3 linked regions of the Drosophila melanogaster genome follow. The protein of the gene in region 3 interacts with the protein of the main gene of each other region in a biochemical or structural test. Each region holds a gene or a part of one and is shown on either strand. Other genes may lie near its edges. The genes, in order: phyl, sinah and ebi.

Region 1 (11,909 bases), on a different chromosome or scaffold from region 3:
TGGGACATGCTGGAACACACTCAGGATATGGAAATGGAGACCATGTCAGTTGGTGGCCACCTGGGGATTCGAGTCCTGCCACTGACCACTGGCGCCCAACTTACGTTTGAGACAGGCGCGCGGCTTGGCCTGTTTGCGTCGGGACATGGCCACGTTGGCTATTTAAATCACTGTTTCCGTTTCCGTTTATAAAGCTGCTTTAGTTTGATTTGACTTGATTTGATTTGATTTGGCTTGAGTGGGCCTAGCTCGCCGTGCGGCTTCCGTTTCGCGCCAAAGCGATTTGTTTTGGTTTTTTGTGTCACAGCCAGCGAGTCCTGGCAAACGCAGCGAATATCCTTGTGCCTTGAGCGTCGGCAACTGACTGAATGCTGGCCCAAAAAAGGTGGCATCAAAACAGAAGCTCTTAAAACAAAATGGTATGTCCACAGCGCAGTCGCGAACAATAAAAGAGCGACAGAGATTGGCAGAGAGAGCAATCAGATGCGGAGAGAGCAGGATGAGGTGGTAGAACAGAGCCACCCAAGAACTCCCAGACATCCAAGCAGTGAACCATCTATCAGTGCTGAACTTATTCCCCTGGGGGTTGCTTCGCTTCCATCCCCTAGAGAATACCGGCGCGGCACCAATCACGAGCGTTTCTGGGTGCCTTTTGAAGAGCCAGGGAACCCGGTAGCCCGGTAGCCCAGCAGCCCGGGAACCCATGCCGACTGCTCACAGTGTGATAGATTCTTCTATTTTGTTGCCCTCCCCGCTCGCCTGTTGCAATTATAAAGTCAAGTCAATTATTTTATAGCCGACTTTCGCACGTGCGTATGGGGGGTCCATCAAAAGGGGCGCGATCTCGAGGCGATTTCGATTCTCCCAAGGTGCCCTGCGAATTGCAGTTTCCACTTGGTTTCTCAGCAGCGGGATAACCAACGCACACCGCTCAGCTCCTTGGTGCACCGTGAGAAACGTGTCCAGAAGCAGAAATTCTAGTGCTTTGGCAGCGGGTGACGACGACATGGGCAATGGATCCTTTGTTGTGCCATCCACTCATCCATATTTCAGGAGTACCACACGCTTGGGATACGAAAGGTGATGTGGTGAGACTCATTAAAGGCAAAGATTGGTATGGAATGAATTAAGGAATGATTTAAAGTTGTGCTAAAGACAAAGTAAGATAAACCAACTGTGAATCCAGAATGTGTTAGAGAATGAATTTAAATTCTGTTTTAGTTAGAGATCAAACTGTGACCTTGAAATCGTTCTTATGTTCTTATGTTATATATTTATATATCTTTTGTTACTTCGCCGTTTGTTGTTTAAAGTATACGTTTTCATATGGGGACTTAACGTTGCACATATTACTAAATTGTTTAGAAAAATTCTTGGAAATTAGTGGTATACATTAAACCTCAAAATTGGAAAATAAAACTTATTTTCCCAAGCGGATTATTTGTTGGCAAATTGTGAGTGCACTCACCACTGGAGTGGTGTTTTTACATATTTTTTTCATTTTTTTTTTACATTACATTTTAAGAACTTGGAAGCATATAAAGGTATATTATTGCACATAGTACAGAAATAGTAAGACAGCTGAACGAATTATATATTTTGATGAAGATGAATTAGTAATACTATTGTATTGGATATAACATTAAAATATATTTAATCGCTTACAACGATATATCTTTTACATATTTCAATATTTATTGGATATTCAGGATTCTAAATAATAGATCTTGTGGATGGTTTTCGCTGAATGCGAACAAAAGAAATTCAATTACTGACCAAAATTATGCTAGACCGATTGAATTCATTTTTCGCCGCCGCAATTCGCCTTGCTTTGAATGTTAGGCGCCACCTACAGTAATTTCTTGAAAACTGTTTGGTAGCGACTGGCGCTGTGACTCCATAGATGTCGCTGGTGTGACACTTAAAGGCAACGGTATGTTTAAAATAAATATATTTCCTCTTAAAGTCAAATTGCATAAGAGATTAAAAAAATTTGATGTACAATTAATAAACAAACAATGGCGTAATAATTGTTTTTAGACGGTACCCTTTAGTTTTGCGTAGTGTAGTTTAGCTTTAATAGTGTTTAATTGCGTAGTCAAAGTCGAAGTAAAATAAATAAGAGCAGTGATTTAAAAATGGGAATACAAAAAACCGAATTTTTTCAAATGCACCAAAACCATTTGTTTAAACATATTGATAGGATCACAATAGAGATCTTGATAATAAATATTTAAATGCTTAACCATAAATCTCCAAAAAAAACTTCGTTATCCCATTCTTATCCTCGATATCTCATCCTGGCACCTTGGGCACTTCCTCTCTTGGGATCCCAGAGATCTACATGAAAATTTGATACGCATATGTCGCGGAAATCGATCGATCGAGGGTCCAGTTCCGGATACATTATTCGTTCGCCACGCAACTCCCTCGCCTGATTCCATTCATGTATTCATTCATCAGAGGCCTCGATTGCGCTTGGAACCTCCGTGCCCCATACTTACTCCTTACTCCCTACTGCCTACTCCTTACTCCCTGCTCCTTACTCCATTGTTTACTATCGTCGAAGATGCGTAGTAAAAGTAGCGGCGAGCAGCGCCAGTTAACCCAGTGTCTGCGATCTGAGAAGATCGTCGCAAATCGGAGGAGCGGACGAAGAAGGTTCGGACGAAAGAAAAAAGGAGAAGAAACATCTGTCGCCACGAAGAAATCCGGTTGCAAGCTGCAACACCACCGGCTCAAAATGAGCAACAACACAGAGAACATATGATTGAACTGCCCGAATGCCGCATAAAAATGGGTAAAAAACGAAAAATCGAAACGCACCTTTTGTGTTTTTGTTTTTTTTTTTTTTGTTTTTGGAGCAGCTGCCGTTGCTGTCGGTGCTTCGTCGCCGTTGCGGAGGATCGACGGGTTTGGGGGGAGCACCAGACTCTGCACTCGGCAGCCTGTTGATGAGCCCACAATGCGCACATGCTGCAAGCTATTCGTGCCGCGGATGATATGGGCTCTGTGTTGAGCCGGCGGGTCCTCCATAATGATAAGTGCCCGTCGAGGAGGCCGTCCACATTAAATTCGGCGTTTGTCGCTCAATGGCAGCTGCCACCGATTCCTTCGGCGGCTTAAGCAAATCCAAAGGACTGGACGCGAGGGACGAGCTTGAGTGTCGAAAGTTCAGATAGGTCAAGTTGTCAAAATATTCGGAGACAGTTGTCGGTGCTTTTCGATTCATTCATAAAATTTGCGAGGCTCTGATCGCTGAATGAATTTGGCAATTCGCCTTGCAAGGCAATAAAATTATAAAATAAGGTTTATCAGCAGGTTAAGAATCATTAACATTGTTATTCCTTATTTTTTATAAATATTTATTTGGCATAAAAGTATATCAGTCATCAGAATTTTATTCGTGGTTAAATTGTCAAACTTCTGCTGCATATTTCCACTGGCACTGCCTTTTGTTATCCGTTTCCTGTTTCAGAATTCGCACTAGTCATCCTAGCAGTCAACATCCCTTTTGGCGCCCTTAAATGTGAACATATGCCGCCTGTTTGTTTTGTTTCGGCTATGTCACCCTTATGGTTGCTTTTTCTCTCACTGCAATATTGGGTTATATGGTACATGTTTTCATTTTTCAAAAACACCAGGCTTAATCTGAGCCCAAAAAATTGCATTTGAGTATAAAAATTATACAAAAATAAATAAATATTTTTAAATTTTGTTTTATATTTGAAAATATATATATGATTTGAAAATATGATATATTTTGCATGACTTTTATTTCATTAGTGTCTAGCTTATCCTTTATCTCTTATTTTTCCCATCGATCCGACAACGCTCGCCACTCTCGCATGTCATTTGCCAGATGTGGCAGCCCGCAGGCACAAATTTTGAAAGTGGTGCCCAGAATGCGATGAGGACAAGCAAGGCTCATTCGAAATTTGTGCGTGCAACGCGAAGGACGTGCCGCTCCGTAGCTCGCTGTCCCGCTCTCGCTCTCCCCGCTCTCTCGCTCTGTCGCACGCGTTCGCCGCTTGGCATTTGTTGTTTGCCACATTTTCGCGGCACCCCAAAAAATCGTGAAAATACAAATACAATACGAGTGCGAAAGTCGAATATCGGCAGAAGTTAGTGCGACCTTTGGTGACGTCAGAGGCTGGGAAAAATCGCCAGGATGTCTACCAATCAGCAGCAGCAGGCGAATCCTTCGGCGGCCGTTGCCGCACCCGCCGCCTCCTCGGAATACCTGAAACGCACCTGCCTCATCTGCGGCTGCCACACCAACCAGACGATCAATATCTACGAGCCCCGCTCCGGACCCAATATCGTTCAGCTAATCCAGGCGAAATTCAAGTTTCAGGTATGGATTTTTCCCAACTTAGAGCAAAAAAAATAAAAACTCAGTTAGGCGGGGAACGTATAAAAATCGATATTGGGGCAACTCGGCGGATGAGTCATGCAACGAAGGAACGTCCTTCGGACAAAGTTTTCCCTCTGCGCGTGTATCCGTGTGTGTTTTTTTTTTTGGGTTAAAAGGGGATGAACTTCGCTGGGCGGAAAATGGGAAAATGGGTGGCACTTCTATAGGCAGGTACAGGTAACTCCCTCACAGCAGCCCACTGGGAAAAAAAGAGTGGCAAGCTATTTGATGATTGATTTCGAGCGCAGTTTTCTAATATTTTTAAGTGATTATTTGCAAAGAACTAAGGTCTCGGAATTAGTAGTTCTATCACAAACTACTTTCTTAATGAAAATTTCAAAATCCTTTATCCCTATTAGTTTTGTGGTATGCCCACCTTTTCCTGTGCCCTTTAAACTGCATATCCTGTCGCCGAGCAGATGATGCATTTCCCCGACAACCTTTGGTAATTGGACACTTTGCATATGTGCCAGTGCCACAGAGCCGCCACTTAGTTCGATTCCTTTCCCATAATTTTTAACAGCTTGTTCTAATATGCGAGCAGTGCGGTGTGTGTGTGTGTGGGAAATGCGACAGCGGAAGATGGCCAGGGAAATCGATCCTGGCTGAAGATCCTGGGCTTGTTTTTCTGTGGAAGTGAGTTTCGGGTCTCGGATTACAGGCACTCCTCCTCACTCAAATGACTACCCATGACTACCTGTACCGGCGGCGCACACATAAACCTGCTCGAAAGGGCAGATGTGCTGTGGATTTGCCGAGATTGCTCCAATTTCTGCGGGCAGTGAACGAACCCGGTGTGTTCGTTCTCTTCGTTTCCATATCCCAAAACGACAGCTGTATTTGCCGGTCGGCACTCAAAATCCAACCCATCGGGGTTTCTGGATCCTCTGCTGCTGCTGCTGCTGCTTCTTTATCAGCTCTTCATGGTCTCGAGTGAGTTTTTTCGCATATCAACTATTGAACTCGGATACCTGGATGCGAGTTCACAGTTTATTGTTTGTGAGACGAAGGGATTTTCCCCAGCAGCATTGGTGGTTGAACCCTTGGAGAATGCCAAATATCTTTGGATAGAAATTCCGGTTTCTTAAGCTGCGCAAATCCAAACAAAGGATCTACCCTTGGAATAGCGTTTACAAAGGTGATTTCAAATGCCCGAATTTTCAGCCGAAGTCCCAGAAGTGCCAAGCTAGACAAGATTTCCATTTAGAGGTCTTCGTTTAGTTTGGTATTTTTGGGAAATAGTTTTTACTAAGGTTTCCGTTCAATTGGATTACAAAGTCAGAATGAGAGTTCTTAAAACGAAGTCCTATAAAAACATAAACAATATTAAGTGGTTGCTAACATAGGTTGTTAAAATATTGGGTAGATATTGGTAGATTGTATTTCCACATATTTTCGGAATATATGTTTCGGTCTTAGATTAATTGAAGCATTGTGCTTAACTAGTATTGTGTGTATAGCAATCAATTTAATTACGAAATGCTCGAGACGCACGCAATGCGATTTCATAATAACAAAAACCCTCAGCTAACCCCGCAATATCAGACACTAGAAGCTCACCCTCTATGCACATAGAATATATATATATTCACCCCCTCCGGACGTCGTTAGAATTTCGTTTGAACCGTTTTTGCGAAACCCTATACGGTGGGCATACACCACCTGCCGTGATCGTAGCCTGGCAACCGATCTCCCCCACAGGAACAACACCCTCGCCGGGTTCTCTATAAGCTCGAGTTCTGAATGACAGTGCCATAAAGTCCAGTTGCAATTACCTTATCAGACTGCGCCCCCCCACCTCCCACTCTTATGCACTTAGAAAAAAGGAACATTACAAATTGAGTAAATATGCAGCTATATTAACAGAAGCACGAAGAGTTGTTTTCAAACTAATAGAAGTACTTTTAAACATATTTTTCATGTGCCCATATTTAACTGATCTTAGGAGTGCACACCTTTTTCTCGCAGTGCATCTGCGATCGGCGTGCGTGCGTGTGCGTGTGTGTGTGTGTGTTTGTGTGGCTTTCTGTCTGCTTTGCACCTGGCCTGCAATTTGCATTATTATACCGTTTACACATGGCCCTTGGAGCACACCTTTTCAGCGCCGAACCCAAAGGTAAACAGCCAGCCACAATCGCTCCTGATCCTTTCTACCCTGCACACCTCCTCCTCCTCTATCGCCATCCTGGTCGATCCTTTCGGTTCCCCGACCCTCGTACCGATCACCTTTATCTAATTTCTCGGCGCAGCTGTCGCGCATGCGCGTGCCTAATGGTCGTCATAGTTGGGGTTTTAACCCAGTTCCCGCTTCGGTTCCACTTCGGCATTATGTGTTTTTTTTTTTTATATATATGGATAGGGCGCGTGGCTCTTGGCCGAAAACGAGTTTCCTTCGAGGCTCGAACTAAGTAGCGAATGTCCCTTTGGCTTGTTACTGGTTACTGGTTTTCCGTACCTTTTGGGCCAGCTGCTACCGCTGGGCGCTTAGTTTTTGCTGGCAGGTGCACGAAATTATTGATACCCGAGGAATGCTGAGGTCTGGCTGGGTAATTAATATGCCCGGGTCGTCTGGCAGTTGTTTTTCGGAATTGTTATGGTCTTTTTTTTTTTTTTGCACCTCTGGCTGGATGCTCATTAGTGGTAGTGGTGGTGGTAGTGGTCGGGTGTCGCGAGCGATCACTAAGTGCATAGGCGTATCGTAATTTTCTAGAGGTTTATTCTGTGGGTTATGCCTGGCTTCAGATTGCGAGTCACGCAATCGGATTTGGGTCAATTTTCATTCTAAGGTTGGTTCCTGATGACCTTAACGGTTTCATGGCTATAATCAATAAATGATTGGCCTTCGTGGCTCTGCAAGTTACAATGTAACCGCCTTCGGTTCTTTCTAATGGCTTTTTATCCTTTACTTGGAATGCTACATATCAGTCTAAGGCAGTAAGCAATTTATAAAATGGGTTATTACTCAGCCATTAAATTAATTGAAGGACCAAATGAGTTTGAATAGTTATGATTAGTATATTATGATTAGCAATAACTTTATAGTCTAGATAAAACTACTTCTACTACCCGTACTCATCTATTCCCTATATATCTCTACTTTCAGCCCCTGAACGAGGACAAATTCCTCTGCTTTAGCTGCAACAACTGGCTGATCAACTGGCACTCCCTGCAGGCGGTCAACAGCAATGAGGCCGAAAGCCAGAGCCAAAGTCCCTCGCACATGGGCAACAGTGTGCTGCAGCAGGAAAGGACGAAGCTCCGTCCGGTGGCGATGGTTCGACCCACGGTGCGAGTGCAGCCCCAATCGCAGCCCCAACTGCAGCCCCAAGTTCCAATTAATCCCACACCCGCACCCATAGTCTATTCGAAGCGAAGAGCCAGCAGACGCAGTGCCTCCGTCAGCCGGATGAGCCGAGTGCTGCGCCAGTGTTGTGTGGAGAGTCTGCGGCGGAGTCCCAAGAAGCGCAATCAGCAGTCGGTGTTCGTCTGTCTTAGGCCGCAGGGCCAGAAGAGGAGCAATGCGATCTGCAAGGTGGAGTGTGTGGCGCCGCGCCGGAAACCAGTGGAGCGACTGGTTAAGGATGTGGCAGCTACAGCTACACCCACACCAGTGCTCAATACACAATCCACGCCCACTTACCAAAGATTCCCGCAGCCCAGTGTGGATGGCAAAGTAGTGGCCATGTTCCGTCGACTGGGAACCACACTCAGTCGGGAAGAACCCGCCGCATATTCAGCAGAATCAAACCCCGCCTGCTCGAAACTCCCGCAGATCATGAGTCCGCTCAAAGAGGCGCCGCGCTGGACGCGGGACCTCGATGATGATGAGATACTGCTGGAATTCGATACCGCCATATCCGAAGTCCTGCCAACTGCCCGCTATCAGGTTACCCACGAGGAGAACAAGGAAAACCAGCAGGCACAAGAAATGGAGCTGGAGCTGGAGGAGGAGGAAGAAGTGGATGGCCGAGCGGAACTGGAAGTGGTGCAGGAGGCGGAAGCGCCACTGGAACCGCAGAGCCACCACAAACAAGGAAACAGCCACCAAAATTCCCACCAAGCTTCAATCCAACTCGCTGGCCTGCGATTACCAATGGGCCTTAGCATTAGCCTCGTCTAAAAACGATGGGTCCAATTGATGCCCCGCACACAAAATAGTCAAATTGCATGCACAATACGCAAATTATGAGCATTAGCAAATGTCTAAGTTAATAGTACCTCGATTACATTTTAATTGTTAGTCAAATACCTTAATTAATTAGCGGACAAAAAAAAACACACACACACAAAACAAACAACAAAAGACCTAAGAATGTTAAGTTAACGGATGTGGAAAGCTATATTTAAAATATACATATTAGTCGTAGGCAAATCCCTGACTTACCCAAAAAAAAAAACAAAAAAGAGAATCCCCTCGAGCCAATGTAGTTGAATTTGTTTGTTTGCTCCAAAAGACAAAAGTATTTCAAAATAACATGCGAAATAAAAATAGCACAAAAGCAATCAGTATATAAATGAATGTTTTTATATTTAAATGTACGGGTGGTATGAATTTTCTATTTATTCCGAGGAATAAGGAGTGATCTTTATGAAAACCAAATTAATTTTACATTTCCCGCCAAATGTTACTCATCCAATTAAATTTTTACGTTGAAAAGTATGCACTTTTTCTCGTTACTAAATTGGGGCTGCCAACTTGTTTTCTTCACGGCGCCAAAAAGTATGCTCTAATTTTTCTGTCTTGTGGCGCCAAAATCAAAATGTAGAACTGCAGAAAATTTTCCTACAGAAAATATTTCTCTTCAATATTTAACATAAAATATGAAGTACGAGAAATTAAATTGTTAATTGTTAAATTAACTAAAATTACTATGTTTTACTTAAAAATTTTCTGCAATATATTTGCTAATAAGTTAACTAATAGAAAAGCTAAGAAAATTCATCACATTAGAAATCCATTTTAAGATATTCCAGAACCAACGAACGACATGCTCTTAAATACATACATATATCATTAGTTTTCGCCTTGCGTGCGAAAGTCCGATGTGTAATTGTTGATTTCTGATGCTCTAGCGTATTTATTTGATTTAGGCAATTGCGTAGTGAGAACGAACGTGTGGAGGTCAGCATCGTCGTTGTTGTTGTTGTTTATGCAACTGAGACAGCGGTGCGTATACTTATTTTGGCTTACAATATGGCATTTCATCAATACACGAACTGATGACTGAGTGGCTGGCTGGCTGGCTGGCTGGCTGGCTGGCAATTGTGGTTTCGCCGACATGACTGGCAACGTTAATAATGTGGTGCGGAAATTTCTACGCGCACTTCAAGTACGCCTTATTGAGACGGCGACTAAGGTTACTTTTATTTATAAATAAAATTCATCGTGCCTTCTGAACTTGAAGATGACTTGCCGCCACGTCGAAGGAGACGGAGAGAGCGTGCAGTTTCCGGAAATCGCGTATACGCCCGATGGCCGTGCGAAGAGCTTACGCCTCGCGATTCTCGCCACTCTGCCGCCTACGAATGACGGTCAAGGTTGAGGCAGCTTCGAGCGGCTTGCCACACGGCACGTTCTACGTTCTGTCAGTCAGAGATTAAATCATTGAGTGCTGTGCGACATTTTTAGCCCGTCCAAGGATGTGCGGTCTTGCCAAAAAAGTGTAGACTTGTCTAAGGTTAGTGATGCACCGTGAGAAACGTACTTAAGGAAATCGTTTATTTAAAATAAATATTATTCTAAATATCGATATAACCGATCTGTGAAACACGTTTCATACTCATAAGATGTATGTAAAAATATTTAAATTATATCCACTGCCAAGGAATTAATGCCTAATTCAACTGCGATAATTCACATGGTTTATATTTATATCCATTTGCTTGAGATGAACTCTCGCTTAATGAGTGCAAGTTGTTCTGGAAAACACGAGATGTTCGACTGGTTTTCGTTCGGTTCCTGTTTGAGCACGTTTAATTAGCATAAATTTAAAAGTGAATTCGGCAATAAAGCCCCAGCGGCAGGAAGCTGAATCAAGCGATCGTTTGAACCCCTGCTACATATGTGATTACAATAAGAGCCTGTGGGGCATGCACAAACCCCACATATATCCCTCCCCCCCCCTCCCACGAAAATATTATGCAATGTACGCACAAAATGCTTCCCGTTGGCTAGATCGTATATTTTGCTGCACTTTTGAATTTTGCCCACGCGGTGAAAAATTGTGCGACAATTAGTTCAGTGCGCTGGCCAAGCGCCCCAAAAAAACTGGTTTTCGAAAAACACAAAAAAAAAAAACAAAGTATTAAAGTATAAAAGTCAGGCTGCTGTGGGCGGCGCGACGGGATGCGTGTGTGCGAAAAATCATTCACTTGTGTACAAGCCAGTATGCCCATTGAAATTGTTTAATAAATCGAAGCCGAAAGAAACCGAAATCGAGAAAAAACGAACTCGGCTGAAAAGTGAACAACAAATACCTTGGGACCGCAAAAAAATCGCACGCACGGCAACGATTAAGGCATGAGTACTCGAAATTCAGCCCCAGAGGCTGGAGACAAGGCAATAACAATGCTAACGGCCGCTTTATGAACAATTATGAACCGCGGGCGAGTTCGCCCCAAAATCAAAAAAAAAAAAAAATAAAATACAACAAAATACAAAAGCAAAAAGTGCCAAAAACAGTATCCAAATTCAAAACTCGAGTTGGGGGCGCATGCGTCACGTTCATGTCACTTTGCGAAGACAGAAATTACGAATATTATTCAATAAAATTCAAATTGTTGCTTTCACAGGCAAGGCAGACTGGTTGGGGTTTGCTGTTGTTACTGTTACTATATCTATATATACTTACCAATATTTTGCCGATTTTTTGTCGACTATTTTGGTGGCCTAGTTACCTTCGGTTCTCGAGTGGCGCGAATTTCGCTTTCAATTTCGGGTAGCCAAATTGCGCAAGATTCGTTAAATGATTTGGCAAAAAAAAGCTAGCGAATTTGCTAGCTGAGCTCCATTTCAAGTTCACCATTGTGGTGTAATTATAATAATACCCTAGACCAATTGCAACCCCGATTTTTTGTTTATTTGTTTGTAATAAGTTTATTTATGGTTAACACGCATAATATAATTTATTGCATCTACAGACTAATGCGTCTGTAAGAAATCGAAATTAAAAGCTAAAAATGAAAAATATTTTTATTCTCTCCTGTAATAATCCGTTTTGCTGTTTCCTCCGTTTTTGATTTCTTTTTTTTTTGCGGGAGGACAACCAAGTTTCCTACATCTAAATATGTAAATATTAGGCTAATAAAAGTGTGGAAAATAAAAAACAAATAAAAGAAAAACGTGCGAAAATTGCGAGTGAATTGGGTGGAAAATGTGAAAATCACCTTTTGCCTGCCCCTCGAATGTTAAACCTAATGACCTGAGAATCTAATTCAATTTTCCTTGATTACAATCCGAATTATATTCGTATTACTCACATCTGGTTTCGTA
Region 2 (8,328 bases), on a different chromosome or scaffold from region 3:
TTTCCAACGGTACGCAACGTAAACGAACTGTTAATTATGTGTGTGCGATCTGTGTCTGTGTTGTAAGTGTGTGAGTTTCCCTCCCCGCGGCTGCCATCCCCTACCGCCACCCACCCCCTACACATCCTCGTTGCATTTGTTACGTTACGCACTCTTCATTACGATATTACGTTTATGCGGGCGATGGTACGAATTTCATAATGGCAAATGTTCAAATAATTTTTCCAATATATAGGGTAAAGTATTAAACATTTGTATGTTCATGCGTTTCATGTGTTTTTGTTTTGGGTTAATAAGGAAACATATTATTTATTTTTTAGGTTTGAGTTTGTTTTCGAATATAAACAATATTACTGAACTCCTTTCACACAAAATTTTGATAGCAATCATATAGCAAATATATTCCCGTTAGGAAAGAGAACAAGTTTTGTTTGTACATCAAAGCTAAACAATTACGAAAACTTTATATTATTATATTGATATTTATCTTATAAACGCACCAAAGCACCCACAGCATATTGTTCACACTAATGTGTGCCCATTCTGTCCAAAGTGGACAAACCCGTGAAACCGAACCACACCCATTACAACCAGCACGACACCCACCATCGCACAATCCCGCCATGGGTCGACGTCCCTAATGGCCGTCCATCAGCGTCGGCTCCGTCAGCTCCGCCTGATAAGAGCCAACATATTTGCGCCGTTCCACACGTGCCGCCAAGAGGCTTTTGGGCTTGGGCTCGGAGTTGGAATCGGAATCGGGCCTTCATTTCGATCGGAGACGTGACGGCGACCTCGGGCTGTGTCTTTGCTTTTCGCAGACCAACTCCGGTTCGATACGTTCCGCTTTAAGTAATTGCTTAAATGCAATTCCCATACACGCAAATGCGTGTGTTTTCTTTTTTCGGTAATTACAACAATTGGGAATCCACGGCAAGGTTAAGGCCAGGAATGATAAATCGCTTTGGCTTTTCTATTGGGCGGCACGAAAAACGAACTACCTAGTAGTAGTGATTACGCGAAATAAGTTTTAAATTAATAAGGCTCAAATTAAATTATTACAAATGGATAGTAGTTTTGCTGGGCAACATTTTTTATAGCAATCGAGTAGATTTTGCTTACACAGTTTGCATTCATTTCATTTCTATTACTTCATGGAAAAATATTTTTGCCTATTACTCATGTCCCAGTGGGCACAATAGTTTGGAATGAACATTCAAATCAATAGTATGCTCCGAACTTAAGCCGCAAAATCGATAGAAAGCTCATAACATATGTTCAAATTTAAACCAGCATTTATGCAGTGTGTTATACTGTGATTTTTTTTGTTGGTTGATATATGTTATTTTTGGATTAACTAAGCCTAATCGAAACAAACTATTTTTGTTAAGATATCTGTATGGTTTTGTAGGTTATTGTTTTTTGGAGTTTCTTATCACTGAACGAACAAAATTACAAAAAAAAGAAAAAAAAATTATACATATGCTATGACTAAATTGACCGCATTACTCACTGACCTGTGATTGTATCTCATTTTAGACAGAAGCACAAGAAAGCCATTGCCGAAGCCACCGGGAGGGCGAAGAACCTGAACCTGGCGAGAATTGCAGGGACCCAGAAGAATTGTAGACACATTCGTGCCGTTGCGAGAACCCTTCCAATGTCCAATAAAATCAACCCGAAGCGCCGCGAACCGACAGCAGCAGCAGCAGGAGCCGGTGCCACGGGAGTGGCCACCAACACGAGCACCTCGACCGGATCCTCCAGTGCCGGCAACACGTCCTCGGCCAACACATCCTCGTCGTCCAGCTCCTCGCTGTCGTCCGCCGGTGGCGGTGATGCGGGCATGTCCGCCGACTTGACCTCGCTGTTTGAATGCCCCGTGTGCTTTGACTATGTGCTACCGCCGATCCTGCAGTGCTCCAGCGGGCACCTGGTGTGCGTGTCCTGTCGCTCCAAGCTCACCTGCTGCCCCACCTGCCGCGGTCCGCTGGCGAATATCCGCAACCTGGCGATGGAGAAGGTTGCCTCGAACGTCAAGTTCCCGTGCAAGCACTCCGGCTACGGATGCACCGCCTCGCTGGTTTACACGGAAAAGACAGAACACGAGGAGACGTGCGAGTGCCGGCCCTACCTGTGTCCGTGCCCGGGCGCCAGCTGTAAGTGGCAGGGCCCGCTTGACCTAGTCATGCAGCATCTGATGATGTCGCACAAGAGCATCACAACGCTGCAGGGCGAGGACATCGTGTTCCTGGCCACCGACATCAACCTGCCCGGCGCCGTCGATTGGGTAATGATGCAGTCCTGCTTCGGCCACCATTTTATGCTCGTGCTGGAGAAGCAGGAGAAGTACGACGGACACCAGCAGTTCTTTGCCATCGTTCAGCTGATCGGGTCGCGCAAGGAAGCGGAGAACTTTGTCTATCGCCTGGAGTTGAACGGAAACCGACGCCGGCTCACCTGGGAGGCAATGCCGCGTTCGATCCACGAGGGCGTCGCTTCCGCAATTCACAACTCGGACTGCCTGGTGTTCGACACGTCGATTGCGCAATTGTTCGCCGACAATGGCAACCTGGGCATTAACGTGACCATATCTCTGGTCTAAACGCACTGTCAATTCGTCGGGTTCTTTCATTTCTTGTGTTTACTATTCCGATACAAATACATATATAGTTTATAGCCCTCTGTTCGCATCAGGCGTCTAACTCGTGGACAGATTGTGAGTCTGGAGATTAAGAAGAAAGAGTTTTGCAGAGTTGTTTTATAAAAATGATTCTCTATTCTAAGAGCCACTTACATGCATATGTATATATATCTATGGAAATATCAGGCTGCTTCGATTATCACATTCGGCACGATATCGCAGTTTTCTTTGATTTTTAAGCTAAGACACTCACAATTTTCCAAAGCGAAATGGAAAGCGTATTAAAGCAATTGCTAAGTGATGTTCAGTGTTTATTGCACACGTTCGTTAAACCTGTAAAACCGCGTTTAAAATTCGTATTTTCATTTTTAGTTTGCACATGACTGTGTGTAAATCTCACTCGTTTGCAGAAAAATGCCAAATATTTTTGGTGAGATTTCGCAGATTTGTATAACACACTTTCCTGTCGAATGCGAAAATCGTGGCTGACCTGTATGTTTGTATGTTTAATCGGTTCGATTGGTACTCTAGTTCTAGGACATGATTTTTCAGTTACCGCACACACAATACTATATATTTCAAAGTTTCAGTGTTACCCGTTTTGTTAGTTCATGGGGTTCTGCTTTAGTTTAATTTAGTTCGTAAGGTCCACACACCTGGAGCAGAGCTGCCTGCGCGTGCCCACGTGCCCACCACCTACTACAGTGAACGCTAGGAACACACAGACCCACTCACCAAAACGAGGAGAACAGCAAGAAAGGCGAGGAGGTCACTCATCCACTCGAACATGTACTGCAAAGTCTAGTTTAGTTAATGTAAATTATTTTATACAATACTTGTAAATGGTAATAAGTAAAACGAACAGTTTAACGAAATTAACAAACCTAATAACCCACAAAGAAAAGTAATATTTGATAGCGATAATCTGTAATAACTCGAGAGTTGTTTGAAAGTTGCAGCCTAAACGAAACTGCGACCCGCAATTTTGTTCATGCCAAACCATCACAAAATAACAAAAACACACTAAAAAAAAAAGAAAACATTTTTTTTCGCAATGCTAAAAAGACAGTTGCCCCTTCCCATTTCCCCCCAAGTCCCCCCAAACATATAAAGCAATGTTAATGTTTAAATTTCTATCTAGTTAAGACGATCTCCCCGGTTTGGCTCATGTTTTGGTTTTGATTTCCATTCGGCCAACGTTTCCCAATCGAAAACGGAAGAAAAATTAATGATTTTAAGCATCTGCACCGTAATTAGCTTTTAATGCGCCGATTTACCGCGCCACTACCATATGAGATCACTCACACAGACACAAAACTACAAAACTGAAATAAACATGATTAGTAAAAGTAAACAATGCTCGTTAATTATTGAAATTAATCTGGGGGAAGCTGAATTACAAAGAAGAGCTACGCCACTTTATAAACTTGTCGATTTAAATCAGTTATCTGTTTAATTTGGATTATCTTTGAGATACTTGGGTTACTTCTAATGCGTTTTAAAACGTTGCAATAATAGATGGCACAAGTTTTTAGTGGTGCACCGCCGAAGCATCTTAAAGATTTAGCTGGATTGGTATCTTACTAGGATACTTAGGCCAATTTCAAAAATAAATTTTTAAGCTGATTTTAAAATGATTTAAAGCAAGTAGGCTCCGAAGTAAAAGTAGCTCATTATACTTTTAGCTTCGTTGTATTGTGGTACAGATTGTATTTTCGAATTCTTTTAAGCAAAATTTCAGTGTTCAGAAAAAGTAAAAAAAAAGTAAAACCATCGGCACTCTCATTCTTCAGAATCGTTTGGTTGTTAGGTCTTAGGATTAATAGCTTGCGCATTGATTGTTGGCTGAAGCACAGATGTCTGTTCGCAACTCACGCCCCCAGTTATCGTGGCCGGAGCGGGTAAGTCCGCAAAGGACTATTGACACTCCAACGGCATCCGGAGAAATGTTGACTCGTCGTCAATCGGCACCAGCGTTGGTCGTGCCGCCGGAGGAGACCACGCACGTTGTGGTGGTCAAGCGGCAATCCCCGGACGCAGCCGCTGCCGGAGAACTGGTGCCGTCTAGGCGGAAGGACTCGGTGGCTGTGCAGTCGGGAATTGTGGCCACTGGGCCATTGGACACAACACGCAGTGGTGCAAGAGACGATTTTCTAATGGCTTTGCTCGAGTGCCCGGTGTGCTTTGGCTACATAATGCCGCCAATTATGCAGTGCCCGCGTGGCCACCTCATCTGCTCCACCTGCCGCTCAAAGTTGACCATTTGCCCCGTCTGCCGGGTGTTCATGACCAACATCCGCAGCCTGGCAATGGAGAAGGTGGCCTCCAAGCTGATCTTTCCCTGCAAGCATTCGCATTTCGGCTGCAGAGCGCGGCTCTCTTACGCAGAGAAGACCAAGCACGAGGAGGATTGCGAATGCCGTCCGTACTTCTGCCCGTATCCGGATGACAAGTGCTCCTGGCAGGGACCGTTGAGGGACGTATACCAGCACCTGATGAGCTCCCACGAGAACGTGATCACCATGGAGGGCAACGACATCATCTTTTTGGCCACCAATGTGAATCTGGAGGGTGCCCTCGACTGGACAATGGTGCAGTCCTGCCATGGGCGGCACTTCCTCCTCTCGCTGGAGAAGATCAATTTGGGAGAGGACTGTCAGCAGTACTTCACCGCCTGTCGGATGATCGGCTCCATGAAGGATGCCGCCGAGTTCGTGTATAACATCTCCTTGGAGGCCTATAATCGCACTCTCCGCTGGCAATCCAAGCCAAGATCAATCCGTGAGAACTTCTCCTCGTTCACCAACGCCGACTTCCTGGTGCTCAATAAGCACACCGTCGAACTGTTCTCTGAGGACGGTAATCTTGCCCTGAACGTGGTCATTAGGAAGGTGGAGGAGCGTACCAACTAACCCCTAGCGTATCCGTATCTCTGCCCCCCCCTATAAATTGGACTTTCGTCGCTGATTGGTAGCTGTTAGCGTGTTAGATAAGTGCATATTAAATTAATACATGTGCTAAGCTAGTCCTATGAATTCCAATGAACTACTCAAAATCACTATGATTCAAAAGAATGGTGTTGATGTTTTAAGGATTTACATTAGGAAAAGAATAAAGGATTGAAACGTATCATTTAGAGTTTCATATATAATTTGGATAGGGTTTCATATCCGGTGAATTTTATTTACAATCCCTATTTCACTCAGATACTTGTCATGTGCTAATTTCGAAAGAAGCCTTGGAATTACACATAAAACTCATAATTCTTACTACAGCTTGTATCTTTTATATAACCATGTGCTTCATGATGATAGGATGCAAGTACATTGCCAACGCCAATCCGAAGCGGTTCGCAAAGATCGTACATCCCAGCGCAGTGGGATTCGTTCTAGTGGGAACGGTATTATTTTTTTCGGTGGAAATGTTCTATATGTTGCCCAGGATATACGACACCGATGGACTGTTCTTCAAGATCGCCTGGCTTATGGCACTATTTATTGTCTACAATCTGCTAGGAAATATGCTAGCCTGCCATCGCAACTCCTCGGCGGTGACTTCCTTGCCCAAGGATCGCCAGATTCCGTGCCCAGAGGAGAAGCACCTGTGGCACTTCTGTGACCACTGCCAGATGTTAGTGCCGGTAAAGTATTTGCCATAGAATATTTCTGTATATCCACGAAAAAGCATTTGTAAAAAGTGGATGTGCGGATACTAAACATTATTACAAAATATGTATGTGACACTTAATACAGCCCAGATCCTGGCACTGCAAAGTGTGTGAATGCTGCATTCTGAGGCGGGATCATCACTGCATCTTCACTGCGACTTGCGTTGGCCACACTAATTACAGGTAATAGTTACTGGTGACAGCGATATTATTGTAACTTTACCACCATTCCTTTCCAAAGGTACTTTTTCTGGTTCACAGTTTACATGCATATTGGATCACTTTTGTCATTGGCAACGCATGTAAATCTGCTTATAATTGATGAACAAATTCGGAGGCAATATGTTGTATTACACTTTTCACGCTTTTTCCTATTTCTCAAACCAATGAGCTGCGAGTTAATAGCACTGAACATAAGTTTCATCATCAACATCTATGCCTGCATTCTATCACTCATAATGTTGGGATATCAGATACCAGCATTGTATCTGAATACCACATTCTATACGCCAAAGGATTATAGATACAATCAAGGGCTACTGGGCAACTTCATGGCCTTCATGGGAAAACGAGGCCTCTGGACATTTATTTCGCCCAGCATTAGGAGTCCTCTGCCCCACGATGGAACTAAGTGGCAAACCAAACAGGCACCCACTACTTTTTGATAGCACCAACCATTATCCAAAAAATGTACTGTGTATTTAGGAACTTTCCGAAATGATTACCAGTAAAAAAAAAGAATATTTCAGATATTTATAAATAAAACTTCTAAAAAATCCCTGGTTTTCAATTTAAACACACACACAATCTCACCTGGCACGAATCGATCCCAGAACTGGGTTAGCGGCAGGACAACCCACGGTGTGCAGTACAACCAGATGATTATATTCATTATCACCGCCTTGGTGAAGGTCATGTTGCGGTTCATGGGCTTGGTGATCACATTGTATCGATCGTATCCTATGGCCGCGTTCGTCATACCAGCACCAATACCCGAATAGGAGCCAATGGAGGCGAATATCTGGCACCAGGTATTGCCCAGGGCGAATCCTCGATGGAAGCTGTTGTAGATGAAGATCGGCGCCTTGAGGCACATGATCAGATCGAAGACGGCCAGATTCAGCACGAACATATTGGATGGTGTCCTCAGCGACTTGGATGTGCTGAAGATCCAGATGACCATGCCATTACCCACTGTCGAGGCGCAGAAGAGAAATATGTAGAAGACGCCCAGCATGTAGTGCATGGACGCGGGCGGTTCCAGCTGGGTCAGCCAGTGCTCCGGAATGTATTGAATCTGATCCGGCGGCACATTCCATCCGAGGAACTGTAAGTCTCCGTTGCCAGAGCTCCGCGCTTCCGGGCGAAGTGGCGGTTCACTGGCGTTGCACAACGGCTCCATATCGGTCAACCCGATACCGAACCGATTCCCAACCGATACGCCTTAACCGCTACCCGTTTCGCTCTGTGTGCGCCACAGGGCTGAACTGTTTCCAATCACCGCAATGCCTCGTTTATATCGCATTTTGTGCTGCCAACCAAATTCAATTAGACTTTGTGGTTGCGTGCCCGCAAAGACGATTTTCTGCCCAGTCTGCTGTAAAAATATATCAGCAAGTATTTCGCACAATCACGGGCAAAGGGTTGGTTATAAAATAATGACGTTAAGACACCGTGTCAGGGTTAAAATTTCAGGGTACAGTAAATGTAAATGTTAAAAATAAAATGGGGTGACACAAGAATATCTTTGCATATGACGAAACTTATATTAATCTCCGATAAGGATTGCCTGCTTATTAGTCATTCTTAAAGAAATAAATAAGTTATTATTTTAATATTTCAACATTGTCCAAAGAAACCTTAGAAAGCTGCAAAAATGTTTTCAAAGTAAATATTGAATACCAATCCTAATTGAATATAATTATTTGTTTTGTGGCAGGTGGGTTAACCGAATTCCGTAATTGCTTTTAATGCAGTTGTAAATAACATTTTTAGTACAAACAAATTAGTTACAACC
Region 3 (10,764 bases):
GGCGTTGTTCTGCGCTGCAGAAGTCAGGGGTGCCGGGCTCTTCGACTCGCGAATTTCGTTCTCCGGCACCCTGCCGGGCTTCTTCTTCTTTAGCACTGCTAAAATTGAGCTCTCGCGTTCCGGGAACGATGGCATCTCCTCCAGGACGGTGGCCAAAACGTCTGTCGATGCCACTATGCTAAGCTGGAGATATTCGCTAGCTCGCTGCTGCAGTTCCGCATCTGCGGATCGAAGATTGCTGTGCTGGCGGAACACATCCTGGATATTGGTACGAATTTCCGGAAAGAGGTTGATAAATTTAATGTACGTGGACAGAAGAAGGGCCCGGGTCATCGGCGAGCACAAGTGGTACTTGGAGTGCAGTAGCTTGAATTGTACCAGTGGTGCTGAGCGGGAATCTCCGGCGATTAAGTTGCCAAACTCGCCCAAGATGTAGCCGCCCACTTTAACCATGTTTTCGTGGCAGGCAGGGGCCTGTAGCGCCTCAAAAACAGTCTTTGCGGCATAGCCTTGAACCTCCTCGCGATTGATCACGATCTGAATGACGCGGTACCATACTTCCTCAGACACGTAGTCGCCAGCAATGCGAATTAGATTGAGGATAACGTCCACATACCTGGTAATATAGCGGTTGTCATAAAGCACATAGACTTTTAAGCACAAGCTAAAAAAGAGAACACCTACCAGGTATAATCCGTGGCGTACTTCTCGGCAAGAATGGCCACCTTGAGCACCATTTCCTCACGAATAGAGTAGTCGGCCGTCTCCAGATAGTTGAGCATCTCCTGAACAATTTCCTCGGCATTACCACGATCACACATGGCATACAAAAGATCCACCGCCATTTGGCGCACGGACACGTCCTTCTCCATTTTCATTGACAAAATGACCACCTCCTGGTGCTTCTTCACCTCCTCGTGCGAGAACTCCGATGTGGCCAGGTGGCACATGGACTCCAGAGCCAGATAGCGCAAGTTGGTCTCCCGATTGCTAAGGAACTGTCCCAACTGGTTGCAAGCGCGGACAAGAAGGTTCGGCTCGCTGTCGCTGTGAATGATCAGGTTGATGGCCTCGAAGAGCACGGCGTTCTTTGCGTTAGAGTGCTGCACCTTCTTACTCTTTGGCGGCTCTTGCGCCTTGTTCAAAATCGTCTCCAAAGTTTCATTCAAGCGGGCCCGCACACCGGCCTCTTCGGTCACTGGATTGTAGTTTTGCAGCAATCGCAGAAGTTTCACCGATAGCCATGGAGCCGGCACAAAGTAATATGTGTAATCCTGCAATGCGAATTTAGTTAGTAATTAGAAGTTTCTTACCTTAAAAAATGCATTAAATCGTACCTGAAGATCCGTGTAGCTGGCTGTTACGATCCGGGATAAGCGTGAAACAGCCAAATTAACACAACCCTTGTACTCGTCCGGATTGCGCTTCACCAAGGCGTCGATCAGCGAGGTGGCCGCTGTGACCACTCCCATGTGCTGATCATTGAGCAAATGGATAATGCGCGAAGTCCACTCACCACCGGGAATGATGTCCGGCGAGGAGCGGAACAGGCGGAGCAGGCATAGCGCCGCCGACTGCTTCACCACGTCCATGGTGTCGCCCGAGACGAGTAGCTTGGGTATTTCGTTGGAAAAGGACTCGGCCATATCCCGACTTCCAATGTTGGCAATGCATTGTAGTGCCAGATTAACGTGCACAGGATTACGCGACTGCAAATCATTCTTTATAGATTGGATGATCAGCCGAATAAGGTCGCTGTTGGTGTTCACCAACACTGAGATGAAAAGGTAACCCTAAAGTTCAAAAAACAGATTTTATCAGTAACATTAAATTTAAAAAACCAATTTTTTAATTATTTTTATCAAACTTCAAACAACGACAAGTTAAATTTAATTGAATGAAATTCCCTTTTCCCACAAGCAGAGTCGTCTGCTTTCAGTTCAATTATTTCGACTCGCTAAATAAACAAATGATTATTGAAGCAATTTTTTGGGGTACTCACAATCTGCTTTTCTGAGTATTTGTTGGAGGACAGCAAATTGACCGCCTCCATGTGCCCGAAGTCGATGTCATGGCCGAGGAGAAATATGAATAACAGCTTACAGACATATTTCTTTTTCTGATAGCCGTCGAGGGTTTTGTCTCCTTTAAATTTGCTTCGTATATTGGCCAACTCCTTGTTTATGCGTTTGACTTCGGCCTCTTTGCTTTTGCCTGTGGGCAAATGGGTGAATATTAGTATAGAAATTTGTGTCTTATGCGGGTATAAGGGAGATTCACAGTAAAACAACAGTGATTCGTCTGCGGAAGCTTCGCTTTCCTTTCCACCCCGCGATTGATCGATCGGAGAGACGACTTCACACCCTTCAGCTCTCTCCATGTCGCGGATTTTCTCCGATTCACATAGGCGTCAATTAGTACCAGTCACCGATCCGCAGCGGAACCTCTGCTCTCCTATATGTTGTCCACAAACCAGAAACTAGTAACCGAGCATACAGCAAACAACGAGCTGTGATAATAATACCATACAGTGAAGCGTCGGACTCTTGCGCACACACATATGCACGCTTCGAAGTACTACAGTAAGTCATCAAACTATCAAAATTGTAAGTATTTATTAATACTGAGAGGCAACCGATTCACATTGATATAACTATTTGCTGTGTTGTACCCATATATATAACTATATATATAACTTTCTCATATCTTTCTAATGTAACGACTACGAAAACATTTACATAGGAATGGAGAAGAAAAGTAGCCAATATTTTGTAATTCATCTGGCAGAGAGCTTACTGTTCCTGCGTTTTTGTACCGCCCCACGTTTTTGTCAGTGCGCTGCTCCTGGTAATTGATCAAGTAATGGCGCTGATTCCGCCCCTATGGAAAATCTCTTGTTGCGACCCGCTCAATTGGATTTAATGCTGGTTACCCAAGAGATCTGCACTTACAGTTCCTTATATCCGATATAAAGACGGCCAGGCCTCTCATGCCATCCCCCCGCACCGGCGCCATGGTAGTTAGCTTGTTAATTTTCGCTGGTTTTATGCAAACTGGGGGCGCAAGAAAATCGTCAATGGATGGCGGCCGAGTCTCGAGGCGTTCTTATCGCTCGAACTCGACGTCGGACCCTAAGATATATAGTTGCTCTCCGCTCTGGTTCTGCAAAGCTCTTTTTACTTCGATTGGATCTCGGCCGTTCCTTGGGACCTGAAAGGGGAAACGATACTCTATTTATTGTGGGTTGTGGGAATGGGAAAACTTAGTATTATGATTACGTTTTAGTATTTGTGTTAACAAACGTATATTATTCAAACAAAAGGTATTTTGGATAACAATTTGTATTTAGCCAGGGAGTAGCTTATTGTGCATGCCAACACATTGATACAGCTTCTATTTTGAAAGTCCGTATTGCAGTTTTACTTTTGATAACGAAAACGCCACAAAATATGTATGCACCACACATTTCACTGAGCATCAAGCGCTGATAACGATTTATATGTATAAAAAATCCAATGTTTAATAAACTCAGAACTTTTAAACGGTAAATAGTGGACTACGTGATTGATTTTCCGGCCAGTGCACCCAATGGCTGGCGAACTTTGACATTTTCTGGTGGAAGTAGAGTGTACCCCCGCATTTTTGGCAACCGATTTATTTTCAACTTGGCAGCGTTTTGCCCGTTGATAAAGATTCTGTGACCTCGCTCGCCCACTTTTTATCGCCTGGCGAAGTCGATGTGCACTTGGGCATTATTATTTGGATTTGCGCGACCACCGGCTTTTGTTTCTGTAGTATACTTTTTACTTTGCTTTCCGTTTCGTTTTATTTTCTGTTTTTCACTGCGCTCTTCGGTTCTCTTCTTTCTTTGCTTTCATGTCACGTCACTTTTTTCACCGCTGGATGACGAGGGCGTTTTGCCCAAAAAAAAAAGCACCGAAGAAGCCTCCAAAAACATTAATGGGCGTATGTTAGCTGTTCTTTTTTTTTGAGCTTACTTTTCCGATTTTTTTTACTCGCCAGCGGACAAAATCGGTTAGCGTTGCGGAATTTCTGTGGCGGAGCAGAGAGAGTAATCTCTGACTTCTGAAGTTGGCTTCGCTTGGAATCGGAATCCGGGGTGTTGGCTGCGGAATGTTTGACCCTGCGTGTTGCACTTTATGGAACTCCAACTCGCTGGAGCTTCGCCTCGCTGATTTGCCGCTAATTTGTTTGTTAACTATTACCAAGTGCAGGGCAATTCACTAAAATGAAAATTTCTATTGATTTTTCTTCGCTCTCGCTGCCTAAGAGTGGAGCCATCTAGCGGGCGCGGGTGGAACGATTGGTGTGACCAGTAGAGCGTTGGGTTGAAATACAATGATTACTTCGAGGGATGGGTACACAGGGATGGACGAAGAGAGACGACAATTCGCTTTAAGAATTTTTTACCTTTTGCTCCAAGCAGAAATCCAAAAATATCTTCTTAATTGTTTTTATGGCTAATAAATTTCCGTTCTATCCTTTAAGGTAACGCTTGGTGCAATACAAAAATATGACTCAAATTTGATTAAGTTGTTGTCAAAACTTGTGACGTCACAAAACACAAGGCTGCGCAACCTCTCGCAGCGCACACCTTGAGATTACTCCGCCATTTTTTTGCGCGTTTCAGAAACGCGTTTTCGATCCCTCGGTTTTATTTGTGGAAAAAATATGTGAAGTGCTCTTGCGGCAAGCAGCAAACTGGCAGAATTGAAAACACAGGACCGACCAGATCGATCCAAGTACCAGGAGTAGCACCGGATACCGTGGCTTGCGCCGAAGTGATAAGCGTGCCGAATGCAGACGCATGTGTTACGCAGCACAGTTCCGATTTTCGCACCGTAAAAACATAATTGGCATTGGAGATAGGAGTGGATTTTGGAGTGCGCTAGTAGTAGGAGAAGGAGCCAACCGCGTTCCGTCATGAGTTTTTCCAGCGACGAGGTGAACTTTCTGGTTTACCGATACCTGCAGGAGTCGGGTGAGTAAAACCCTCCAATCGCAAGATAACAGCCCGCCCTAATCTCATGCAATCCCGTTTTCTAGGCTTTCTGCACTCGGCCTACGTGTTTGGCATTGAGTCACACATCTCGCAAAGTAATATCAATGGCGCATTGGTTCCACCTGCCGCTTTGCTCACCATCCTGCAGAAGGGTCTTCTGTACACTGAAGTGGAGTGGAGCGTAGGCGAAGACGGCGAGGTGGCGCGACCCATTGAAGGACTCTCTCTAATAGACGCTGTCATGCCGGAGGTGAAGCCACTCAAGCCCATTGTGAAAACAGAGCCGGGAAAACCCGGGGCAGTCGACTCTTCTGCCCCTGCCGGTGGCAACCAGAACAACAATGCCAAGCCTGAGATAAAAATAGAACCGGGTACCGGAGTGGCGGGCTCAGCAGGTGGAAACAAAATTGCTGGCAGCACCACGGGCACAAGCACACCAACCGATCAGTCGGCAAGCGAGGTAGACTCCAGTGGAAATGCGGCAAATAATGCTGGCGGCACATACGCCGGAAACAATGGAGCTGGAGGGAACCAGGCCAGTACTGGAGGATCTAATAGCACAAGCACACCAGCTGGTGGAGATTTGGCAGCACCTGGGGCAAGTCAAAAGAAATCCCAGAACTCGAATGAAGCGGGAAGCTCATCTAGTGGCAATGCAGGCAATGCAAATGCTACCAGTACCGATGATGCAGCCTCCTCAACATCCACAAATGGCAATAGCAGCACTTCCAGCAGCGTAGAACAACCTACAAGCGGGCTGACGCCCGCTGGTGGAACTGTATCAACCTCCAATCCGGACGCAGCAGCATCGGGCGGAGCTTCGACTGCAACAGGATCAAAGGCGCCAAGTGGAGCGGTTACGATTCGCGTAGGAGCCCAAGGAAACAACGTGCAGTCTGGTTCGTCCAATGCTCAAAGCTCTGCTCCCAGTGGAACCATCTCCTCGTCTACCAGCGGAGGTGCTGGGACTCCCGCAGCTCTTGTTCCCATGGACATTGACGAGAACATCGAAATACCCGAATCCAAGGCTCGTGTATTACGCGGCCACGAAAGCGAGGTGTTTATCTGCGCATGGAATCCTAGCCGGGATTTACTGGCAAGCGGTTCGGGAGACAGCACTGCTAGGATATGGGACATGTCCGATGCAAACACTAACTCCAACCAGTTGGTGCTGCGCCACTGCATCCAGAAAGGCGGCGCTGAGGTGCCTAGCAACAAGGACGTCACCTCTCTGGACTGGAATGTAAGTCGAAGATCTTGGCACTTAAGCCTTGCAAAGTTTGATTTCTGATCCTTACTTAATCTATTCTCGTTTTTGCAGTGCGATGGTTCCTTGCTCGCCACCGGCAGCTACGATGGTTACGCCCGAATTTGGAAAACCGACGGTCGACTTGCTTCTACTTTGGGACAACACAAGGGTCCGATCTTTGCTCTGAAGTGGAACAAGTGCGGCAACTACATCCTCTCGGCTGGCGTGGACAAGACGACGATCATCTGGGACGCATCCACGGGCCAATGCACCCAGCAATTTGCCTTTCACAGTGCTCCAGCCTTGGATGTGGACTGGCAGACAAACCAGGCCTTTGCCTCTTGCAGTACGGATCAGCGGATACATGTGTGCCGGTTGGGTGTAAATGAACCCATCAAGACCTTTAAAGGACACACAAACGAGGTGAATGCAATCAAGTGGTGTCCGCAGGGCCAACTGCTGGCGTCCTGCTCTGATGACATGACCCTCAAGATCTGGAGCATGAACCGAGATCGTTGCTGCCACGATCTGCAGGCTCACTCAAAGGAGATCTATACGATAAAATGGTCGCCCACGGGGCCGGGAACCAATAATCCAAACACAAACCTGATCCTCGCATCCGCTTCGTTCGATTCCACGGTAAGACTGTGGGACGTGGAGAGGGGCAGCTGTATCCACACGCTCACCAAGCACACAGAGCCAGTCTATTCGGTGGCCTTCAGTCCGGATGGAAAGCATTTGGCCTCCGGCAGCTTCGACAAGTGCGTACACATTTGGAGCACGCAAACGGGACAGCTAGTGCACAGTTACAAGGGCACGGGCGGAATCTTTGAGGTGTGCTGGAACTCCAAGGGCACTAAGGTGGGTGCCAGTGCCTCCGACGGTAGCGTTTTCGTGTTGGACCTGCGAAAGTTCTGATTGCCGGAGCAGCCACAACTGGATTTCGTGTATTGAGCCAACGCTTAAAATAGTCAAGATTCCTTTTCCAGCTCATTATTTGGTAAAAATGAAATCGGTAGTTTTTCACTTTCTTACGGAACGAGAAGTTTTTACTTTTGATTCAAAAATTGCATTTAACTATATTTTTTAAAGAAGTGAAATATGATCAGTTACAATTCTACCAACATAAGTCGATTTGGATCTGGAGTCCGGACCTTAGGTAACTCCTTTCTTAGCTATCCCGCCCTGCAATCGTATTTGTAATTGCTTTAAATTCTAATTAGTTCTTTAAGGTATACCTCTTGAGATGAGATCCTCCCGCTTTTGTCCACGTCTATTTCGTACGCTTAGTTTCGAGTCACAAAATATCGATATGCACCTGGGATTTTTGGGGGCTTCAACATGGTTGTTGTTCTCTTCAGATCAGCGGGATGCGACTCGCCTCATTTTAATCTTAATCATAAGCTCCATGTTTCTAAGGTCGTCCCTTTTTATACGAAAATCGTTTAGTATAACTTTGCATTTTGTTATTGTATCGATCAAAGATGCCAGCCAACTCCCCGCCCTCCCCACCAAAAGTCCTTTACCCAATTCCACAGTTGTCCTCCAAAAAAGGGATGCCAAGAGATCAGATCAGACCGATTCACGCATACATTCAGAACAGTGTAACTGCAGTCCCACGTAGTCAGTAATCGAACGTAATTATTAAGAACACGAGATTGGCGGAAACACAAGAACATCAGCAAAAATACATTAAAGATAAAAATTAATCTGTTTTCGTTTTGGGCCTGGGTGTTTTTTGTATTTTAGCATTTTAAAATTTAATACTAAAGTACTTAAATTAAACTTTATTCTTTGTAAATATAGATACTCCTGAACTTAATTTTATTTTCATTTGTTGCTAAAACTCCATGACACTTTCCAGATGGCGTTGCTTAAAGAAGCGGCACTCCTCGCGAATTATTTCGCCGGATTTTGTTGTGCCCTTAAAGAACTTTGTGAGCTTGGTGCCGGCGTACTTGGGCTTCTCGGAATCCGGCTCGTCGAACTCCATGTCATAGGCCTTGTCCGCCAGTGCGTTTTCCGCGGTGGACCAACTGAAGCGCACAAGTCGTGGAAATCCAAACACTAGATCGATGTACTCGGTCAGAAATCTTCTTGTGACCGGATCTCCCGGATATCCACTGCCGAACTCGTTGTCCTTAATGACCAAGCCCTCGGGGAAGCTCCACACCTTGAGGGCATGATCACGGGTAACTTTGGCGCATATACTAGCAGCAGAGACTATTGGATAGGTGGAGTCAGCTTTTTTCGCCACGGTGATTTTAAAGCTGGGGAAACGTTTGAGCAACTTCTCCTGGTACTTCTCCGGCGGACCCACCGTATCCACATAAACCTCGGCTATATTGACGCCCGCATCGATCGCCTGTTGGATAAGGCCCATGGCCGAGTCCATGGAAACTTCGTTCAGGGAGCACTTCGACCGCCGGTACATGCTGGTGCTGATCGTGTTCGGCGATATGATCTCCACGGCCCAGCCAACGCAACTGGTCGCATATTCCTTGGTGTTGATATCGTTAAATATGATATCACGTTTCCCCTCGGTTAGTTGTTTGGAATCGGCGCATCCCAGGTCCTCTAAAGCCTTGTTACTTTCCAGTGGACAGTAGGAGATCCCATATACCATAGGTCCCAGGACGGGACCACGCCCTGCTTCGTCCACGCCCAGCATGCACGGCTTATCCTTGCAAATATCCGGAACATCGCTGAGGTAAACCGTGTTGCGGCTATTCTCCTTGCCGGCTATAAATGGACCCAGGGCCTTCAAGGAGCTTATTTTTCCGCTGTCCTTAAAATCTACATCATCGGGCTCTTCGTCGTTCTCATCAATATTTTCTATACATTTTTTTTCTTTTTTTACAACTACGTCTTCTTGGTCCGACATTTTCGCGCGCTTTTTTTTTGTTTACGTTTAAACGACGCTATGGGCACACTAATTGTATACATAAAGTTGCAGTGTGACTCATTCGTCATTATACCAAAATATCTTTTTTTTAATATTCTCAATAACCGTACGGAAAGGTCTTTTATTAAAATAGAGAGATAAACATATAACCAGAGAATTATGCTAAGGCTTCTGTCCAAGATGCTTAAAAATAAACTAGTTTAAATAAGAGATAATCTCGGCAGTTTGAACGAGTTTTCCTCTACCTAGTATTTCCTGACAATAATATGCAAATTTTCATAGACGGTTGGTATTTTTCTTCGTCATCGGCGCGGTCACACTGCATATCAACTGCTCTTTCCGGTTTAGGATTTTGACCAGCGTGCTTGTTCTCGTCCCGAGCTAAGGCCATTTGTTATAAACAATTAATTTTTGGCAACTTGCACAATCAGTGATTAGCCACAGCACTTCGACATGTCCACCAAAGCCGAGCTCGCCTGCGTCTACGCCTCCCTCATCCTCGTCGATGACGATGTCGCCGTCACCGTAAGTTTTTCGATATTGCAATCGGGGACGAAGCAAATCCTCCAAAGCCGCGGCCATCGGCCGGAAGTATTGGACAATTTGCGGGTCCTATGGTTTCTTTCGCACTGCTGCAACTTGTGCTGATCTTATTTTTTGGATTCACCAGGGTGAGAAGATCAACACCATCCTGAAGGCCGCCAACGTCGAGGTGGAGCCCTACTGGCCCGGTCTCTTCGCCAAGGCCCTGGAGGGCATCAACGTCAAGGACCTGATCACCAACATCGGATCCGGAGTTGGTGCCGCTCCCGCCGGTGGTGCTGCCCCTGCTGCCGCCGCCGCTGCTCCAGCCGCCGAGTCCAAGAAGGAGGAGAAGAAGAAGGAGGAGGAGTCCGACCAGTCTGACGACGACATGGGCTTCGGTCTGTTCGACTAAATCCTCTAGAGAACTTCTCGACAACCGGACATCCGTTGTGTTTGTGCTGTAATCCTCGAGAGGTGGACGTGTACCCGTTTCCCGACCTGCGTACACGTTTTTAATGTACAAATGTGAGGAAATATAGAAGACGTTTGCTAAAAAATTATCGAGACTCATTCCTTTCACAACGGTGCAGAATTATTATGGTTTACTATGTTATTGGTCATTCCACTGCCTTTTTGTGAGTAGATTCTATTTTGGGTTTTTAAGCACATGAAAGAGGTTGCAGTAGAATGGCCAATAATTTGGTCAGCCGGGTTGAAGGCTACGATTAAAATGTTCAAGGTTTTTTTTACAAAAACTGTCACAGCTAATATTTATTGGATATAACGAACGCAGACTAGAATAACGTCTCCTCGAGGACCTTAGCTAGGGCACGAAGATTGGGTCCGTCGATTTTCTTGAGACCCAAGCCCACCACGAACTCCGTCGGGCACTTGTGGAGTCCGGTTCTGTTGACCAGAAACTGTATGGCGCTGCGAGTCTCGTCGGTGTCCAAGCCCAAGCAGCAGTTCATCGTGATTGGCACCGATACGTGGAACTCCGGATTGTCCACGGGTCCGTGCAAATAGGGAACCACTCTTTCGTCCTTTTTGACATCGAAGTGC

The links.
Region 1: the proteins of ebi (region 3) and phyl form a complex in vitro, tested with the Drosophila melanogaster proteins (one study listed by BioGRID).
Region 2: the proteins of ebi (region 3) and sinah form a complex in vitro, tested with the Drosophila melanogaster proteins (one study listed by BioGRID).

The regions. Positions count from the first base shown.
Region 1 is NT_033778.4:14,424,356-14,436,264, reverse strand, and holds phyl (phyllopod), read left to right. Parts: upstream 1-3,927; 5' UTR 3,928-4,171; coding exon 4,172-4,357; intron 4,358-7,520; coding exon 7,521-8,537; 3' UTR 8,538-8,929; downstream 8,930-11,909. Other genes in the region: L (lobe), read right to left, coding at 105-147. UniProt on the Drosophila melanogaster protein: Essential adapter component of E3 ubiquitin ligase complexes; involved in R7 photoreceptor cell differentiation, embryonic nervous system, external sensory organ development and specification of particular muscles.
Region 2 is NT_037436.4:16,854,758-16,863,085, forward strand, and holds sinah (sina homologue), read left to right. Parts: upstream 1-4,322; 5' UTR 4,323-4,500; coding exon 4,501-5,556; 3' UTR 5,557-5,772; downstream 5,773-8,328. Other genes in the region: Rh4 (rhodopsin 4), read right to left, coding at 7,125-7,713; sina (seven in absentia), read left to right, coding at 1,661-2,605; CG13029 (uncharacterized protein), read left to right, coding at 5,940-6,284, 6,397-6,494, 6,553-6,976. UniProt on the Drosophila melanogaster protein: E3 ubiquitin-protein ligase that mediates ubiquitination and subsequent proteasomal degradation of target proteins. The adapter phyl is required to direct the degradation of the two isoforms of the transcriptional repressor Tramtrack (Ttk).
Region 3 is NT_033779.5:410,445-421,208, forward strand, and holds ebi (ebi), read left to right. Parts: upstream 1-4,622; 5' UTR 4,623-4,944; coding exon 4,945-5,002; intron 5,003-5,067; coding exon 5,068-6,266; intron 6,267-6,344; coding exon 6,345-7,190; 3' UTR 7,191-8,092; downstream 8,093-10,764. Other genes in the region: AP-2alpha (adaptor protein complex 2, alpha subunit), read right to left, coding at 1-616, 685-1,274, 1,338-1,793, 2,003-2,214, 2,281-2,380; CG13690 (uncharacterized protein), read right to left, coding at 8,113-9,156; RpLP1 (ribosomal protein LP1), read left to right, coding at 9,631-9,702, 9,848-10,114; CG11885 (uncharacterized protein), read right to left, coding at 10,497-10,764.